3 linked regions of the Schizosaccharomyces pombe genome follow. The gene in region 2 interacts genetically with the main gene of each other region. Each region holds a gene or a part of one and is shown on either strand. Other genes may lie near its edges. The genes, in order: cid1, cdc1 and dna2.

Region 1 (5,042 bases), 1.2 Mb from region 2:
CCAATCGTTTTTTCTGAATTCTGAACAAAGAGAGACAAGACCCAAGTCTGAAGTTACTTCTTCATTTTGAGCTTGTCTAATAAACTCAGCAACCCTAGGAGGTGGCTGAGAATATTGATTTTTAGGAGGACTTTTCGTTATCCTCATTTTTGCTTAAAGCATCAAAATCTCGAAATATAGTTAAATACCCACCTTGAGAAAAATGCCAAATTTATTATGTTCTAATGAATTGTACCAACGAACAGAAGGGAAATAGACCCAGCTGAATGTTTGGTAAAAGTTCAAATGTGATGGTTAGCATGCTGCAATGCGTCTACAAATTTGGAAACAATATGAATTTTACGAAAAAATTTGATAAGCTAAAATAATTTCTGTACGCTATAGTAATTAAGAAAAAAAGATAAACTCTTTATATGTGTTTACGCACATTACCGAGGCTAAACGAAAAAATATTTGGTTATTTCCGTTCAATTTAAAGAAATTGATATAAACAATAGCTTAGCATTTGCAATAAATAATTATTAATTATAGATCTATGAAAATTTTTTGGACATTGATGTTAACTATGATGAGCCTATTTTCTCACCAACAAGTAGACTATTAACAAGAGGTTGTACATAAAACAAAGGGGGAAAGGTATTAGAAACAAGAGGTCAAAATTTTTAAAGAAAAATAAAAACATTCCATGCTTTCAAAAGTAAGCAAATAAAAGCAGAGTAATAATGAATGATTACTATGAATCTAGGGGAATGAATATTGATGCGCTTTTTAAGACTTCTTTGTAAAATCACTCAGAATTGTCACCATCGGTTTCATTCAACAATTTTTTGTTAGATTGTTCATCCGTTTTTTTCTGGCGACGAGGCGGAATTGGGGCCTCCTCAAATAATGAATCATAAGGGATAGGATATGAGCGAGAATTGAGCAACCTTGAAGCGGCCATAAATTCCCCTCGAATCCGATACAATCCAGAACTGCTAACTGTCCTACCCACATTATGTGAAATCTCGAAAGGATCTTCAATCGCAAGAATATACCTGTCTTTTATAATTTGATCAGCCGATCCAGTGTGTTCAGTAGCTGAAGTCCATCCTTTCTCTTGCTTTGTGAGGTAACCGTCTGGTCTACGAAAAGTTACTACCTTTTCCCGTGGCTCGAACTTATAAGCATAAAATCTAAAAAAGCCATGAAGTAAACTTCCCAATGAGCTATAATTTTGGGAAGGAGGGATATCTTCCAGTTTATCGTCAAAACCAACGTCAAATCCATCAACTATCTTTTCTTGTTTCAAAGGTGACAACAGTAAATTAGGAAAGACGGGAGGCTTGATAACGTGAATCAGATAGTAAAGAACCATTAGGACGTAACCATAACTGGAAAGAGTTCCAAAGTAAGGAGAGTTGATTTGCTTCCGTTTGGCCCAATGCTTAACAAGAAGGACCATGGGTTTTAGGCGAGCATCTAATTTTGTATATGAAGAAAGTAAAAGCGTATTATGAATAGCTAGACGATTGTTAAATCCAATATCACATTGAAACGAAGCCCCAAATCCATTTTTCGTATCAGATGTTAATTTGATAATGGGAATTCTTGCCCTTTGTAAAAATTTTCCTTCAAATCCTGTCGATAGTTAGTTATGCGAGCCAACTGGAAAGGAAAAAAACAATATTCAGAGATAGTTTGTCTAAACTGAATAACTTTTAATGAATAATTATACTTACCTTCAGCTATAAGCTCTTCATAGAATTGGAGCGCAATTGTATCACTTTGGACGCGCGAATCCATAAGCACGCACAAATCCATATCCGAATTTTTAAGTGCTAAACCAGATTCCAAACTTCCAAAGGCTACCAATTCAGCATCTAAGTCACATATCATTAGAATTGGACATTATCAATATTTGGTAAAGTCTCCACTCTCGTTAACTACATAATTGAGACAGTCCTAAATTTATATTCAAACATACCAGGGGATATTCGTTTAAGGCATAGCCGAAGTGTATCTAATGCCGCTCTCTTTTCTTTAAACTCTTTGTCACTAATTTTAATCTCATTATACACTTCATAGCAAAACTTCGTAAATTCCTTGTGCGAATTAGGGACCTTTTGGTAGCTACAACTTTTTGAAATATGTAAATTTTTGTGAATTTCTGCCTCAATCTCTTCAACTGTGTGAACACCAGGAATAAATTGTGCAGAAGAAATGTTCATATTCGTCTACTGCTCAAAAGGTGAAAGTGGCAAACTTATTCACTTTCTCTTTGAGTAATTATTCACTGTTTAATGGTCTTTGATGCTTCCTTTTACTAATTGAAGCAAGTCAGTTACAGTGTTTGCTTTTGGCAAAAGCTCCTTTACCAATTGATATGTTACTTAATAGCAGTAGGGGTGACAGCGCTAATGGATGAGGAATGAGCTATAAAAAGCAGTAAAGTAATTGAAAAAAGTTAGGAAGAAGAAATCCTAAGGTCCAAATGTTTTCTTTCTCACTTAAGAAGCGAATGTTGTATGGCTAGTAATGGTTTATGTGAAAAAGGAAAATTAGCAAATAATCCGTTGAAAGCCTTAATCATGAATATTTCTAACAATAACTACTAATATTTAGTTTATTTTTATGTCAGCGAGCTATCTTCGTCACAGTTAAGCAAAATAGCTTCACTTGATGATTATGGACGAGCTTAACACCTAAACACTACGCTCTTCCTACTTTCAGATACAAAAAGTAATTTTCGTCCGGAAAAGATAATATATTTTATTAATCTCATAGATTTTACGAAATTTACTAAAAATGCTAGGACAAGGCTTGATTTTTATCAGTTTAGCCTTTGTTGCTCATGCATTAGAAATTCCTATTTCTTGCGCTGTATCACATAATGAGCAAACAGAAATATTTCCACATGGTACTATTGATATCCCAGAAATGACATTTCGTCCTTCGGACTCACAAATTGATTGGAGTAATCTTTCTCACTCTGATTTTGTACAATGTGGAGTATACGAAGATTCTACCAACACATGGCTTGCAGGCGCCAGCAAATACAAAATTGATGAAATAAAAACCCTTCCAAAAGTACCTAGAGACCACTATATCATACTTTGTGATTCATCAGAAAGCAATGAGATTGCAAAATTTACTCAAGTGGTCCACTCATTTGATTTTTCATCCGACTCAGAAAGTGCTGTAGTCGAGCAATTGCATCCTTCTTCTCCAATTCCAATTTTAACTACTGCTGTCAGAAAAAAGGGATCACGTCCATCTAAACCCCAGAAGGAAAAACAAGGAAATAAACAGGGTTCTAAAACCGAAGAATCTCCAAATGTGGACGAAGATGAATTAGAGTCCGAACCTGAGGAAAAGACATTTTTCCAAAAATATGGTTTATATCTCATCCCGATATTGTTTCTGATAATTATGTCTGGTAACAATGCAAATCAACAGGCAGCAAATACGGCGAAATAAACGAGTCATTATATATATGCCTTAAAACAATTGCGTCTCGGCTACGATAATTTTTTGATTATTGCTACTACTTACTGTGCTCTTTACAAATATTCTAATTCATCTATTTCCATTCAATAATACTGCTATGTGCCAGATGTACGATACTTAATAGTACTTTAAAATCTATACAAACATTTGTAATGAAATATCGTATAGGAAAGGTTAAAATAAAAAAGAAGGAAGTTTCTACGTGCACATAACTAATTTAGTCTTTAACAATTATTCCATTCCAACATAAACAAGATTCATTAATAACTAGATATAAACATTCATTACACGCATGAGATAAAATCAATTTTTAACAACAATAAGGAAGGAATTACACATGATTACCGGAGAGTGTGGTTAAGTATTTTTAACATAACCTTCGCGTCAGATAATGTAAAAAATGAGGAATTACACAATCTCACATAAATAGAACATAGTGTGTACAAACACAGAAAATTAAAGAACAGTCGTTTCGTTAAGTCATCAAGGGCTTGGAAGCCTGGTTAACGCCGCTATTTAAATAATCCACGACGTCGTAGAGAAATTTGAATTGCTCAAAGTTTTGAACCATTTTCATCCGTTGTGATCTCAACGAGTTAACACAATTGAATATGAAATCTTTTGAATCTTCCAAATTGGTCGTCTTGGGTAAAATGTTTTTTGGTACCTGAAGTATTTGGTCTACAGCAATAAAAGTACCAGTGCGTCCTACGCCTGCTGAACAGTGAACGAACATTGGTCCATCATTGGGAACCTTATCAATACAACGTATGATTCCCGTGATGCTTTCAATATCTGGATGGGTTTTGTCAAACCACGTGTGCACCCAAAAGTGATGTATATACTTTGGAGGACCATTAGGTTTATCCAATCGAAACAAATGAGTGTTGACCTTCAAATCTTCAAAGGTTTCATATTTTTGAACAGATATGCGTAATCCGCCTTCCAAGCATAATGCGTGATCTTTGTTATCTGGCCAATATTGAGAACATTTCTCACTTCCCGCCTCATACAGATTTGTGAGCATTACGATAACACCATTTGTTCCTGAGTTATGCCAAACCATTTCCCAAAAGTCTAAAAGAGTTCCCGGCTTAGGGGCCTGGCAGGCAATATATTTTTTATTTCCAACGTCTATATGTGAAGCATTAATATAATCAGAACATCCTTTTGGAACGGCTAGACGGACTCTTGTTTTATCGTAGGGCACGATATCTGTGTAACGATTTTTTCTTGAAATGGAAGTGGAGCGGCTGGAAGCTAAACAGCACCAATCAGATTTACTGTCATTAAACGCTAGGGATCTAGTCATTTCCATTTCCTCAAGTCTTTTAAACTTATAAAAAATAGAAGCAGTATTTAAATCCGCAAGCACCTCACAAGGAGGAGGAGAAACCTTTTTGGCACCCCAGGGATTACAAGTAAAGGGTCCTTTGTTTTCCTTGGAGAAAATGCTTCCCTTGGTCTCTTTATTAAAGCACGGTTTGTTAGCTCTTCTTAGACCGCCTGGTTTTGGAGCATCTCGTGTGTTTGATAAACCAACAGATGGTTTA
Region 2 (4,787 bases):
TCTTTAGGTGTGCTACTTTCTCGATTGCAATCGAAGAAACTGTTCATTTCCAATGAAATACAGAAGCAATGGCATAAAAAGGATGATTTTACAGAATACGAAGATATTGTACACGAACTTATAGAACTTCCTGTTGTTTGCGCGCAAAGCATAGATGGTGGGTGTGTTTACGAGGTTATTAATCTTGTTCAGTCTGTTTTAAGAAGAGTCACTAAGCTTTTTCAATTGAAAGAACCTTGGAAATTATCAGATGATTCTCAAGAAAAGATTGACACTTTAATGTTAGTAGCTCACAGCCTACGCATTAGCGGAATTCTCCTACAACCTATAATGCCAACCAAGTCGACTGAGTTATTAGACCAATTAGGAATTCCTAAAAACCAGCGCTCCCTACAGAATGCAACTAACGTTTTTGAACCTACGGAGTTCACGTTCCACAGTGGTAATAATTCTCATTTGTTTGACAAAAGAACTCAATGAGACGTGTAGATCAGATAATTATGATGACAACAGTAAGAAAAAACTTATTTATTTAATAAATACATGATTAAATATTCAAGATATTTTGCATTAAGAAGTAATTGGAGTCTCTGCTTTGACTGACATGGGGCGGAATTGAATAATTTCTACGTTGAGCGTATGCATATTTATGAGAACAAGTACACCAGTCTTACGAAATTCGGGAACGGAAACCAATTGTATTCTGTTTCCCTCATTAATGACTGTTTTGCAGCCAAATTTCGGTTGATTACCACAAAGATATAGATCAGGCATTTCCTCCATTACAAATGTATCTTTGTCGGTGAAAGGATAGCACCCTAAAATCATTAGCAAATATATCGTTTGAAAAATGTACAGATTACTTACATAAGGTATCAGGGCTGGTAGGTGTGATATGATTCCATAGTAAAGTGTTTTCCATGCATTGAAGTGAAGATTTTTTGGGATGATATTTTCGGAGATCATTAATGTTTTGGCCGCTAGTAGCCAACACAAAATGATTGCCAAGAGAAAGCCAAGTGGGATTCGTAACTGTTTGTAAAGAAGATCCCAACCAAACTTTTGATTTAGTAAGTAAAGCGGGATGCAAAGGCTGTTGAGGAAGGATAGTTGAACTGTAATCATAAGGACCAGGCATTAAAGTGACATCTATGCTGGAACACACTTGATCAAGAAAATTATCTAGTTGGAAGGTGGGATTTGGATTGTAAGCAGACGTGTCATAGCCATATCTTTTTACTTTTTTCTTGCCAATGGGCACGGACGCAGAAGCGGAGTCGGCAATTTCTATAGAAGGTGCTAAGCAATTTCCGAGAATAATTAGCCTTTTGATGGAGGAAGGGGAAAAGGAAGAGACATGTGGAAGTGTTCCTCTTAGGAAATCTACAAGCTGATGAACTTGAATGCCTTCTATGCCGTCATTTGAGAGACCTAAGCCACTGACTGCCGCAATGTACTCTGGTTGAGCTTGCGATTCATCTGTAGTCATTGGAATGGAATGAGAGAAGATGCCTGGAAAACAAACGTCAACGACAACGAAACGACCTTGTTCATCTTCATGGCCCAAAACTGCAAGAACAACTCCTGTAACAACGCCAGCGTCATACAAAAAGCTTCCGCTACAATCTATACGGCCATAGTCATCCTCAAGAGCATATTCTATATCACCTGAAGCAGCATCTTCTGGGCTAACATACGGAGATTCTTCAGTAGTGGTGACAATTGTATGAAGTTGTGTGACATCGTTCATAACGTTTGGCTTAAGAGCTGTAGTCATATAAGCGGTAGCGACAACCCAACAGTCTTCATCTGACTTAACATCTAAAACGCGTTCCAATCGCTGTTTATCCGGCCATTTTTTTGAAGCGGCTTCTGTGATTCTGGGTCGAAGAGCGGTAAGTCGGGCGAAATAGATGCTGGCGTACTGTTGACTATACGTTTGCTGACTTAAACTAAGCTCCAAGCGTTTAGTTTCTTCACAAGGAATTGAATGTCTGACTTCAACCATGATTATTTTGTAAATATATACAGTTAGGTAAGTTAAACACTTACCAAAGGAGTAGTCAGGATATTAAATCGAGATGCTCCACGAAAAATTTCACAACAATGGAGAGTGAAGAGTTGTCTACGATTCATGCAATTACTAAAACGAGCGAGTATTGCAAGTAAATGTGCGGAAAAAAATATATATATATATATATATATATTTATATGATTTCCCAAAAAACCTATGAACGGCCCCAAAACACCTGTTTAAAAAAAAGAGGAATAAATATAATAACGCTTTTGTTGTTTTTTCAATAAAATCAGTTCTTTAAATGTTATTGACTAATTTACACAAGCAGCATATGTAAAGAGTAAGGAACTTCAAAGGTGTGCTATGCAAGGTTAAGGGGAATCAATTTCATGGAATGGAACCAGGTTTAGAAGGTTCGAATAAGCAAAGGAGTTGGATGCAGCAGATCAACAAGTAAGAATACGTTGTATATGAGAAAGTCGTGGTTCCTAACATGACTAGCTGTTGTTACCTACAACAATAAAGTGTTTGAAGAACATCTTTTTTTAAATGTAAACAAAGAGGTAAACTTGACGAAAAGAGAAAGAAGCTCAATAAAGGTGAATGTTTACTAATTGAGGATGAACAAACATCATGTGGGTTTATTTCGTTTCATACAATTAACATTTTTCTCAACCTTGAACAATCATGATGAATCCATATATTTAGTCTATCGAGTTTTATCACACAAAAGTAAAAGAAGCAAATTCCCCAACGAAGTAAATGAACTACAAACCCTTTCCTATAGCATAAAAAGTGGGTTTTCGATTTATTTGATGATTGTAAATTAATAACATTATGTTAATTAATAGGAGGAAAGGTAGGCCAACATAGTGCCCTAGAAATGGTTAAGGTGATTTCTGTATCTTACTATATTACTTATTAAAGATGTATATCAAAACTACATTAATTTAAATTGAGGTTTTATTTTATTCCGTTGAAATCTGAATATTAAATAACGCAATGTTGATCGGTCACACTATTACCCCATATGGAAAAGTATTGTAGAAGGAAAAGCAAGAATAGCAAAACCAAATTCAAATGTTTAAAGTAAAATGAAAAACTTGCCGATTTTCTTCTTCTTCAAAGATATCAATACATCCTTTATAAAAAAGCCGCTTGTCACGAGAGGTCAATGAAGCGGTATTGCCTGTTGTCCGATATCAGAGAGCTAGCTATAAATAGACTGTGGACTGTTAACATTCAGTATCGGCTACAGCTGCGGGATATCGAACACAGGGATAATCGAGTATACTGAGATGAATCAATGTTGCACGATTTAAAAAGGTTTTAACGACTCATAAACTTGTGTACCAAAAAAAATAAGAATCTCTATGTTAGAGAATAATAATTACTTGCATAGCCAGCCAGTTGTGTTTTAGTTGTTAATATACTAAATAGAAATAACTTGGCAACTTGAATGAAATGGAAATAAAATCTTATTGTGTGTGATTAATGCAGTAAAACATAAAAAAAATGAGAAACTGTTTACGTATTAAAAGGTCATACGGTTTAAAAACGGTTGAAAGTTTGATAAATTGAAGATCGAAAATTACGATGAGATCTTTTGCTTAATGCACTTGTATAGTCAACATTTCACACAGTTACATTTTCACATTCGCCGGAATGTCGAATTGTTTAAAAAACTTTTACTTTATAGTGTCTTGCAAGAAGGACCTGCCTGCATACTGTAAAAATTTCACTTTCGCACTGCTAGAGTTTGGAACAAACGAGCCAATAACGGTTCTGCGGACAGTTGTCGGTTTCCGCTTCCCCTGAGGTTAAACTAAAGCAGTAGAGGGATTTTGTGGGATCGGAGTTTGAGAATCCATGTTTTATATAAAAATTTCAGAGTTTTGTTGCTTTTTGTTTGTGCTCATCTGCCCCGATTTTTTTCCAAACAGTAAGTAACAAATCGATGCTGCTAAAATATTGATACTCACTGGATACCTTGTAGGGAGCTTGAAGCAATAGTTGTGCAATGATTGTGAAAGTCAATTTGGCAGAATGATGGGGCCTCGTGGTTGCTTGGTTAACGAATTAATAGAAAGCAACAAATCATTCAGATAAACCGGAAGAGACATAGATGGATATGAATTGTTCTTGTTCCTATATGTGCGTGCGATACATTACCGAAATTCTCTTCACTTCCGTATTCTCTCACTGCATGTTTGCGGAAAGTCAACGGACCAAATAAAAAAGTACATCGAGCTCCTTGTTAAACATTGGGACAACCGTCTAGGCTCGATCACGGATGTTAAAGCAGTCCTCACGCTGAACTTGTTTGGATTGGTGTGTGAAATGCAAGAGACAGGAGAAAAGAAATGAGGTTACGGAGAGTAAGCAAGTCCCAGAATTCCCGAAAAGCAAATTCCAATCTAACGAGCTAGTTGTTTAAACAACCAAGTACAAGGGTCCTTGGGGTGACAAATTGTCCAAGACAACAGGGACACCAAAAGAGAAGGGAACAGCCGGACTGAAAATAAGTCAGAAAAGATAAAATGCCAGTGCTACTGAAATTGAAACATTCTGCGACATTCACGGTATGGTATGACAGAATTATTCCCAACATCCTTTTTGTAGAAGTATACTTTTCATTTCAACAATCTATTCTTTTTTAAGTTGCATTTTTGGAAGCTTATTTTACCTTAACTGGCATCTATTTAGAATACCTCGGCTATGAGATGTAGCGCAGTACCGTATTTGATCCTCGTTCTTTAGTTGTCTTTTT
Region 3 (7,948 bases), on a different chromosome or scaffold from region 2:
ACTCCTCCCGGACAGGGATTCTTGCCCAGCGATACTGCTAAGCATCATCGTGCGTGGATAATCCCTTTAATTAAGCAAGCGTTTGCTGAGGCAAAAATTTCTTTTAAAGATATTGATTGCATTTGTTTCACAAAGGGGCCAGGAATCGGTGCTCCTCTGAATAGTGTAGCTCTTTGTGCTAGGATGTTATCACTAATTCACAAGAAACCTTTAGTAGCAGTTAATCATTGTATTGGTCACATTGAAATGGGTCGTGAAATTACGGGTGCACAAAATCCTGTCGTGCTTTATGTTTCTGGGGGAAACACTCAAGTAATTGCATACTCAGAGAAGAAGTATAGGATTTTTGGTGAAACGCTTGATATTGCTATAGGCAATTGTTTGGATCGATTTGCCAGAATCATTGGTTTGTCCAATGCACCTTCACCTGGTTACAATATTATGCAAGAAGCAAAAAAGTAAGACTCACTTTGATGTTTTATACTAATTTTTTCCTAGAGGCAAAAGATTTATAGAGTTACCCTATACTGTTAAAGGTATGGATTGTTCATTTTCCGGATTGTTGTCAGGGGTTGAAGCGGCAGCTACAGAGCTATTAGACCCAAAAAATCCGAGTTCTGTTACAAAGCAAGATCTTTGTTACTCTTTACAGGAAACTGGCTTTGCAATGCTAGTTGAAATTACAGAACGCGCGATGGCACATATCAGAGCTGATTCTGTTTTAATTGTTGGAGGTGTTGGATGCAATGAACGTCTCCAACAAATGATGGCTGAAATGAGTTCGGATAGAGGCGCTGATGTTTTTTCTACAGATGAACGTTTCTGTATTGATAATGGTATAATGATAGCCCAAGCAGGGTTGTTGGCTTATAAAACCGGGGACCGATGTGCCGTCGCAGAATCGACGATTACTCAAAGATATCGTACTGACGATGTTTATATATCATGGAGGGATTAATACTTATATTCATGAACAAGGATCAGATGAATTTTATTTTAGGCATTTATATATACATTCTTCATTATGAAGATCGTATCCAGTAAAATATTGAGTTTTTTGAAGTAGATTATCAAAATTCCAGTTGAGGTAAAATAGCTTTTTCACATAAATTGTCACTATTAAAAAACCTTTGGTTCTTTCTAATAATAACTTTAGCATTATTTGTCGTTGCAACCTGAGAACAATCCTTAATTGGAGAGCTATTCTCGTCAAATTTCGTTGCTATATCATTCTCATTTAACGTGAAAATCCATTTGTTTTTTTCTAATAATTTCAATAAATGAGAAACTATATTTGAAGACGAAAGAGTAGATAACGAGCCAAACATAATACATTTCACTTTCGCCCTGCTTAAAGCAACGTTCAAACGATGCCAATCGCGTAGCAATTCTCCAACCTAAATAAATGGTTAGCAGTTGTGTAAATAATTGGTTCAATACTCACTAAGTTTTTACTGTTGGATCTCACAAAAGATATTAAAATGATGTCCTTGTCTCTTCCTTGATAACGATCGACAGTGTTAATTTCTATTTCAGTGAATGATTTAAGATTCTTAGAAAGCAACTCCACCTGACTTTTGTAAATTGAAATTATCCCGATAGAACTTTGCTTAACGCCTCGTTCCAAGAAGGAGGAAACTGCTTGTTCTATCAAAAAAGCTTCAGTATGATTTTCTAGAATATTATTAGTTTTTGATTCAACTCCCAGAATATCATCGGTATTAAAAAATATGACTGAATGACTAGGATTGATTAACTTGTTGACCCAATGTAGGCTAGACGACGAATCGGGTAAACCATCACTTAGATGAGCTTTTGGCAAAATTAATTTTTTTTGGGATATCGTCTTGGACCCACACACCAAATTGCCGCCATAAATAAGTTCACTAGATAATGAATTAATGTCTTCATTCATACGATATTGTAGTCTTAAAGTGGTAACGGCTTCAGGATGCTTTTCTGATAGTAATTTAAATAGACTGAGCGACAAACCATCCTTAGATGTTCTTGAATTTTTTACTAAAGGAGGAAGTTGATAATGATCACCAACTAAAACAAATTTTTCAGCAAGCTGCAAAGGGCCTAAGCAAATTGGTAGAGGTATTTGGGATGCCTCATCAATTATACAATAATCGAATTTTCTTTTATTGAAAATGGAACTAATGTTGTTAGTAGTTTGTTCATTGCCGTCGCTTTCAATTACTTACTGATATACCCCTAGAGAAGAGCATGCAACTATTTGGGGGTCTTCGTAAAAATGTTTTAATGACGCTAAGTCGTCAAACGTCGTTCCTTCAGTCAAACAAAATTCTTTTACTAGGGGATGGATTTTATGAGGAGATCCTAAGCGGACGATTGTGCTATCACAACCCTTCAGTTTAATTAAAATGTTATCAACTGCTAAATGCGTAAAAGAAGTAAGAAGTATTTTCTTCTTTTTGGCAAGCAATGATCTGATTAAGCTAGAAATTGTAGTGGTTTTCCCCGTTCCAGGCATTCCGAGTATCAAACTATAATGTTCTGCAGCGTGGCATTTCTTTAAAGCTGTAATTTGATCTTCGTTTAAACATTTCAAAAATTCAGGATCGATTAATGCACTATTACAAAATTTTGGAGGCTTCAAACGGATAATCATGTCCCTTATAATTAAGGGAGCATCTGGTAATACAGAAGACATCAAGGTACCTCTTATTGATGCAATTCCGCTCGAAAATTCGTCCTTATCAATTCTGTACCTCGTATGGTTACTTCCGATAAATGACAATTTGGAATCTTCATAGTTACCAAAAAATACCTGGTTTTTTTTGAAATCAAAGTTAGGCATCTTTAGCCATGGAATATGAAGTCGATGACGAGTTCGTACTTCAATACATGAATCTTGAATATGGACTATGTGTCCTTTAGCTAGTGACCAGTGTCCATGTTCATCAGAAATAAATACTCGTTCACCAACGCTGAAGCCTGAGTGCAAGAAATTTCGAGGATAACCATTGTCATTTAAAAAAGCGAATTTGTAATGAAAAACCCTGTCATCAATTTCTAAACAAACGATATCCTCTTTAGTAATGTATAAAGGATACAGAGTTTTTCCATAAGCTTCTAGCTCTTCTGTATCAAAAGTCAACACATCGCCTCTTTTTAGTAGTAAGAGTCGTTCCTCTTGATTTAATAACTTCTCCCACTTCTTATAAAATTCAAGATCCTCATCTTTTACTTCGCGCATCCATTCATTCCATGACTCAGTCAAGCCGTTACTATTAGCTACTCCTTTATCACTCATCTTTTGAAAGAACAAACATTCAGAAACTAAACTGCAGTGATCGCAAATTTTTCGGTTCGAAATCATTTCAGGAAGGCTGCGCCTAAAGTTATGCTGTGCAAGAGAATTTCTTGTCATGATCAACCCTCGAAGTTGGGAGTTACTTGCAACCAAATTCTTGATAGTACTATTTTCCAAATAGCATAATAATGCCTGATTAGTATTGATACCATAACGATCTGAAATGAGTAATGTATAAAGCAAACTTTGAGCAAAATGGCTAATATTGTCGACATATCGGCCAGTTTTAAGCTCTAACGGAAGTGTGAGGGTTGACGAAGACTCAGGTTTTTCAGTTAAAACCACCTCAACTGTAGCATCGATATTACCTTTTAATCCAAATCTGGGTGACCATATGGATTCCTCAATATCGAGAAGCCTTGAAATGTGAATACTTTCATTGTTGTTGTCATTTTTTTTACTTATTAAATATCTTTCAACAATAGATTTAAGAAGGGGAAGCCTCGCATCAAGTTCCTCTCGAATTTCATCGAGCGACAAATCAGCAAAATAGATATCAGAGATGTATGTTTTTATTGATGTTTCAAGGTTGATATCAACATTTTCAAGGGCATCAATACCTCTGTATAATGCGTGTTGAAAAAAATCATGTAAAATGTTTCCAGTTACCATAGCTTTTGTAGGAGGTCCATAAATGCCAACCCTGTCAGATATTACGGCTTTCCTCAAACAAGGAAAAGAGCTGGCCACTGCCGTAGCAGACATTAAAATTTTCGGATGTATGATAATAAGTCCTTTATCGTTGTCAACGATAGCGGTATTATCTTTGTCAAATGTAGCTTCAACACGGATAGAATCCCCTACAAAAATACTAGTCTCAGTCCAATCACCGCGTAAAAATAACTGATGCAGTATATCATTTGCTTCCAAAATCAACTTTAATTGTCGAAAGTGATTCCCTTCATGAAAAATGAAGTCTTCGTGAACTTCTAATACTGTGTATTCGGAGGAAAACTCGCACAATTCACCAGGAGTGCATCCATCACACGAATCATCCCAATCATCGATAAAGTCGCTATTGATATCCGGCAATGAATTACAAGCTTTATCAAGAGCAAGGTTCACAGGTTCTTCATTTATTGTAGCATCAGATGCTTTTGTTGCTGAACAATAAGATTGCAAATCACCTCCCACATGGTTGACCTTAGCTGTCTTTTCTATGTCCTTTGCAGAAGCAGTTACTGTAGAATTAGGTAATTGTGAGTATTGGCGTTCAAGGGAATCTAATGCTGCCAGATCTTCAGCTTCTAAGGCAAAATCATCCTCGTCAATTTCGGTATCTGATCCTTTGAGAAGACAACTGGAATTTGCAGCAATTCTTGATTGCTCAGATGATCTTGCATTACGAATTATAGACACCAAGCTAGGGACTTTATGCAGGTTATTTCCTTGGTTTTTTACTTCATCATACGATCCGAAGCTTCTACTCTGGTTTTCCGAAACATTTGAACTCGACAAATTATTGTTTATCAGTGGCTTATTATCTGAAGCACATCGTCGTAATAGGACAGTTTCATCCGTATATAATGTAAACACATCAGATTTTGAGTTCGTTGACACTGGTTTCATATCTATAATCGTTGAGTCCGTCGTTTGATGATCCAGCAAATGTTGAGTAGAAGAGCTACGACACAAATCCTTCGAAGTTTCTTGAAAACATACTTCTAAAAGTTAAAATACACGTCTGAATACAAGAAAAATCATACCTGGCATGTCTTGGCTATTCAAGTCAGATTTCCGCGTGAAAGATTTGTCAGGCTTTAAATCGTCAGTAATTTCTTTATGAGCTTTAGTAAATGGGGAAAAAGATGTTGAGGATTCATTAAAAGTATTCTTTCGTTTAATTGGTAATGAAGAATGCTTTTTTTCAGAGATTTTAGGTGAACTAATTTCTGTAGATGCATTGTACGCAAAATTTTCCAGCTTCAATTTAGTTCTCCCATTTAGCAAATAGTTTTTCCTGAAAGGAGTTGAATTAGTTTTTTTTAAATTACCATGATTGTTGTCAGTAGTGGCACATATACCTTTCACAGATGAAGTTGTTTTCGACTGGTCGTTGAACATTATTAATTTACAAAAAAAGGAAGGCAATAAACATTAAAAAATAAAAAAGTTTGTTATAATTATACTCAAATAACCAGGCTAAAATTCAACCAGGTAATGAGCTTTGAAAAGAACGACTAAAACACGTGAAAAAGAATGATGATCAACGATGTAAATGCAAAGAAAAAATAAATAGAAATAAATTAAAATAAAGCCTTAACGACTGCGCTTATTCTCAAAATAATAGGCAATGCTCGTAAAATAGATATTTGGAGTATGGTTGTCGGAGGTTTCAGTTTTATAGATACTCGGTTCCCTAACGCCAACAATGCTAGTTAATTTATTTCCTTAGGTTTTCCGCAGTCATGTTCTCGATTGATTTTAAATAAAATTACACATGAATATGTGCCAGTAATCTTTACAATGAACCTTGTGAAGTCGTTCACAGGTAAATTGAACTAAAACCAAGTCCGATGAAAGCAAAATTATTGATTTTCCTTAATACATAATTAATAAATATTATCTGTATCGAAATTCGCTTCAACTCTTCTTAAGTATAAGCTTATTAACTGAATGACCGTTTGCATACAAAAGCGCAAACTGCGATTTAATTATAAAATAAAATTCCTTCTTAATTTTTTTAAAATTTATTTTTAAAATAGAAATGCATGTGTAAGCAAAAATTAATATAAATTTTTTAGGTTCGTTTGTTTGTTTACATTCCAAAAAGTTGACTTATTGGTTATTGTACTCTTCTCGTATTTAGAAGCAACCATCATTTGAATCGGGAAAAATCTTGATAAATTCATATATAATAGCATTAACGATCGCATTAATTTTAATAAAACTATTTTGAACAGGGCAGCTTCTTCACGTCAATTGAGGAAATACCATAAACGATGCGAAATAAGAATATTCTCGTCTTGAATTTGATATTAAGTATACCAAGGTTGGTCTTTACTGCTAAATATGATGAAAGAGAATCTTTATGGAATTTAAACCAAAATCAATCAGCTACCGATCCTCTAGATTATTGGGGAAAATGGGAAAACCATCAATACCATCCCAGTCCAGATGATTGGCAAGTGCCATTTTACACAGTTATTTTGGATAAATGGAAAGATGGTGATCCTAGAAATAATGAAGCTAACAATACTATTTATGAGTATGATATTTATGAAACTGGTTTTCGAAACGGAGGGGATATAATAGGCCTGAAAGACTCACTAGATTATTTGGAGATTATGGGAATAAAGGTAAGATAGAGTTATGCTTTTATGCTCGTTAACGAATAAGGTTATCTACATCGCCGGTACACCATTTTTAAATCAGCCATGGGGTGCTGATCAGTACTCACCACTGGACTACACCATCCTCGATCACCATTCTGGAACAATTGCACAATGGCGTGACACGATAGAAGAAATCCATCGTAGAGGGTTTTATTTAGTTCTGGACCTTACAATTTCTACGTTGGGAGATCTTATAGGGTTTCGGAAGTATCTGAACAGTACTACTCCATTTTCTTTATTTGAACATGAGGCGGTGTGGAAAAGCAACGTCATTTATCCAGACTGGAATTTCACAAATAAATATGACCCAAAGTGTGAGCTTCCCAGATTTTGGGGTGAAGATGGCGCGCCTGTTGTGATTGATTATGTTGGTTGTTATGATTCAGATTTCGATCAGTATGGCGATACAGAAGCCTTTGGTACTCATCCTGATTGGGAACGTCAGCTTTCAAAGTTTGCTTCTGTCCAAGATAGACTTAGAGAATGGAGGCCATCGGTTTCAGAAAAGTTAAAACACTTCGCATGTATGATCATTGCCATGTTAGATGTGGATGGTTTTCGTATTGATAAAGCTACTCAAATTACAGTTGATTTTCTTGCTTCATGGGCTCATTCTGTGAGGGGGTGTGCAGCAACGTTTAATAAAAAGAATTTTTTTATACCTGGTGAAGTAACTGGTTCTTCAAGTTATGGCTCAATTTATTACGGTCGTGGTCGTCAACCAGATCAACGTCCTCCGTCGATACTTACTTCACTTAATTCATCATCCCTTAAAGAAAACTACTTTCTGAGGGAACCTAAAGCGAATGCCCTAGATGCTTCTGCTTTTCACTATTCACTCTACCGTGCCATGACCAGATTTCTGCAAATGGACGGAGATCTGCAAGTTGGTCATGATCTTCCCGTAGATTTTACAGATTTGTGGAATGCTATGGCAGTTAATGAAGACTTTTATAATCCTAACACTCATAAAGTTGACCCGCGTCACATGCTAGGGATTACTAACCATGATGTTTTTAGATGGTCAGCAATTGAATTTGGATTAGAACGTTTGCTATTAGGAACCATGATAACGTACTTTCTTTTTCCAGGAGCACCCTCCATTTATTATGGTGATGAACAAGGATTCTATGTACTGGATAATACAGCAAACAATTATCTTTACGGTCGCCAAGCGATGCCTTCATCTATAGCATGGAAAGTTCATGGTTGTTATGCACTGGCATCTGATCAGTATCCAGAACTTCCTGTCATAAAGGCATATCAAGGGTGT

What was found.
Region 1: of cdc1 (region 2) and cid1, extra expression of one rescues a mutant of the other (dosage rescue), as found in Schizosaccharomyces pombe (one study listed by BioGRID).
Region 3: of cdc1 (region 2) and dna2, extra expression of one rescues a mutant of the other (dosage rescue), as found in Schizosaccharomyces pombe (one study listed by BioGRID).

The regions. Positions count from the first base shown.
Region 1 is NC_003424.3:5,203,881-5,208,922, reverse strand, and holds cid1 (terminal uridylyltransferase Cid1), read right to left. Parts: upstream 2,344-5,042; 5' UTR 2,211-2,343; coding exon 1,967-2,210; intron 1,863-1,966; coding exon 1,722-1,862; intron 1,621-1,721; coding exon 788-1,620; 3' UTR 501-787; downstream 1-500. Other genes in the region: ptr1 (E3 ubiquitin-protein ligase), read right to left, coding at 1-147; protein Emc10, read left to right, coding at 2,788-3,459; protein tyrosine phosphatase Pyp2, read right to left, coding at 3,965-5,042. UniProt on the Schizosaccharomyces pombe protein: Cytoplasmic uridylyltransferase that mediates the terminal uridylation of mRNAs with short poly(A) tails such as such as act1, hcn1 and urg1 mRNAs, hence facilitating global mRNA decay. Uridylates the 3' ends of actin mRNAs upon S-phase arrest.
Region 2 is NC_003424.3:4,012,271-4,017,057, reverse strand, and holds cdc1 (DNA polymerase delta small subunit Cdc1), read right to left. Parts: upstream 2,009-4,787; coding exon 868-2,008; exon of another isoform or gene 819-867; coding exon 571-818; 3' UTR 501-570; downstream 1-500. Other genes in the region: msm1 (methionine--tRNA (Met) ligase), read left to right, coding at 1-480; SPOM_SPAC27E2.14 (uncharacterized protein), read left to right, coding at 4,381-4,395, 4,447-4,536.
Region 3 is NC_003423.3:3,591,289-3,599,236, forward strand, and holds dna2 (DNA replication endonuclease-helicase Dna2), read right to left. Parts: upstream 5,669-7,948; 5' UTR 5,405-5,668; coding exon 5,047-5,404; exon of another isoform or gene 5,002-5,046; coding exon 2,208-5,001; intron 2,160-2,207; coding exon 1,445-2,159; exon of another isoform or gene 1,423-1,444; intron 1,398-1,422; coding exon 1,071-1,397; 3' UTR 1,003-1,070; downstream 1-1,002. Other genes in the region: kae1 (EKC/KEOPS complex N(6)-L-threonylcarbamoyladenine synthase subunit), read left to right, coding at 1-458, 499-958; cell wall alpha-1,3-glucan synthase Mok13, read left to right, coding at 6,283-6,639, 6,680-7,948. UniProt on the Schizosaccharomyces pombe protein: Key enzyme involved in DNA replication and DNA repair.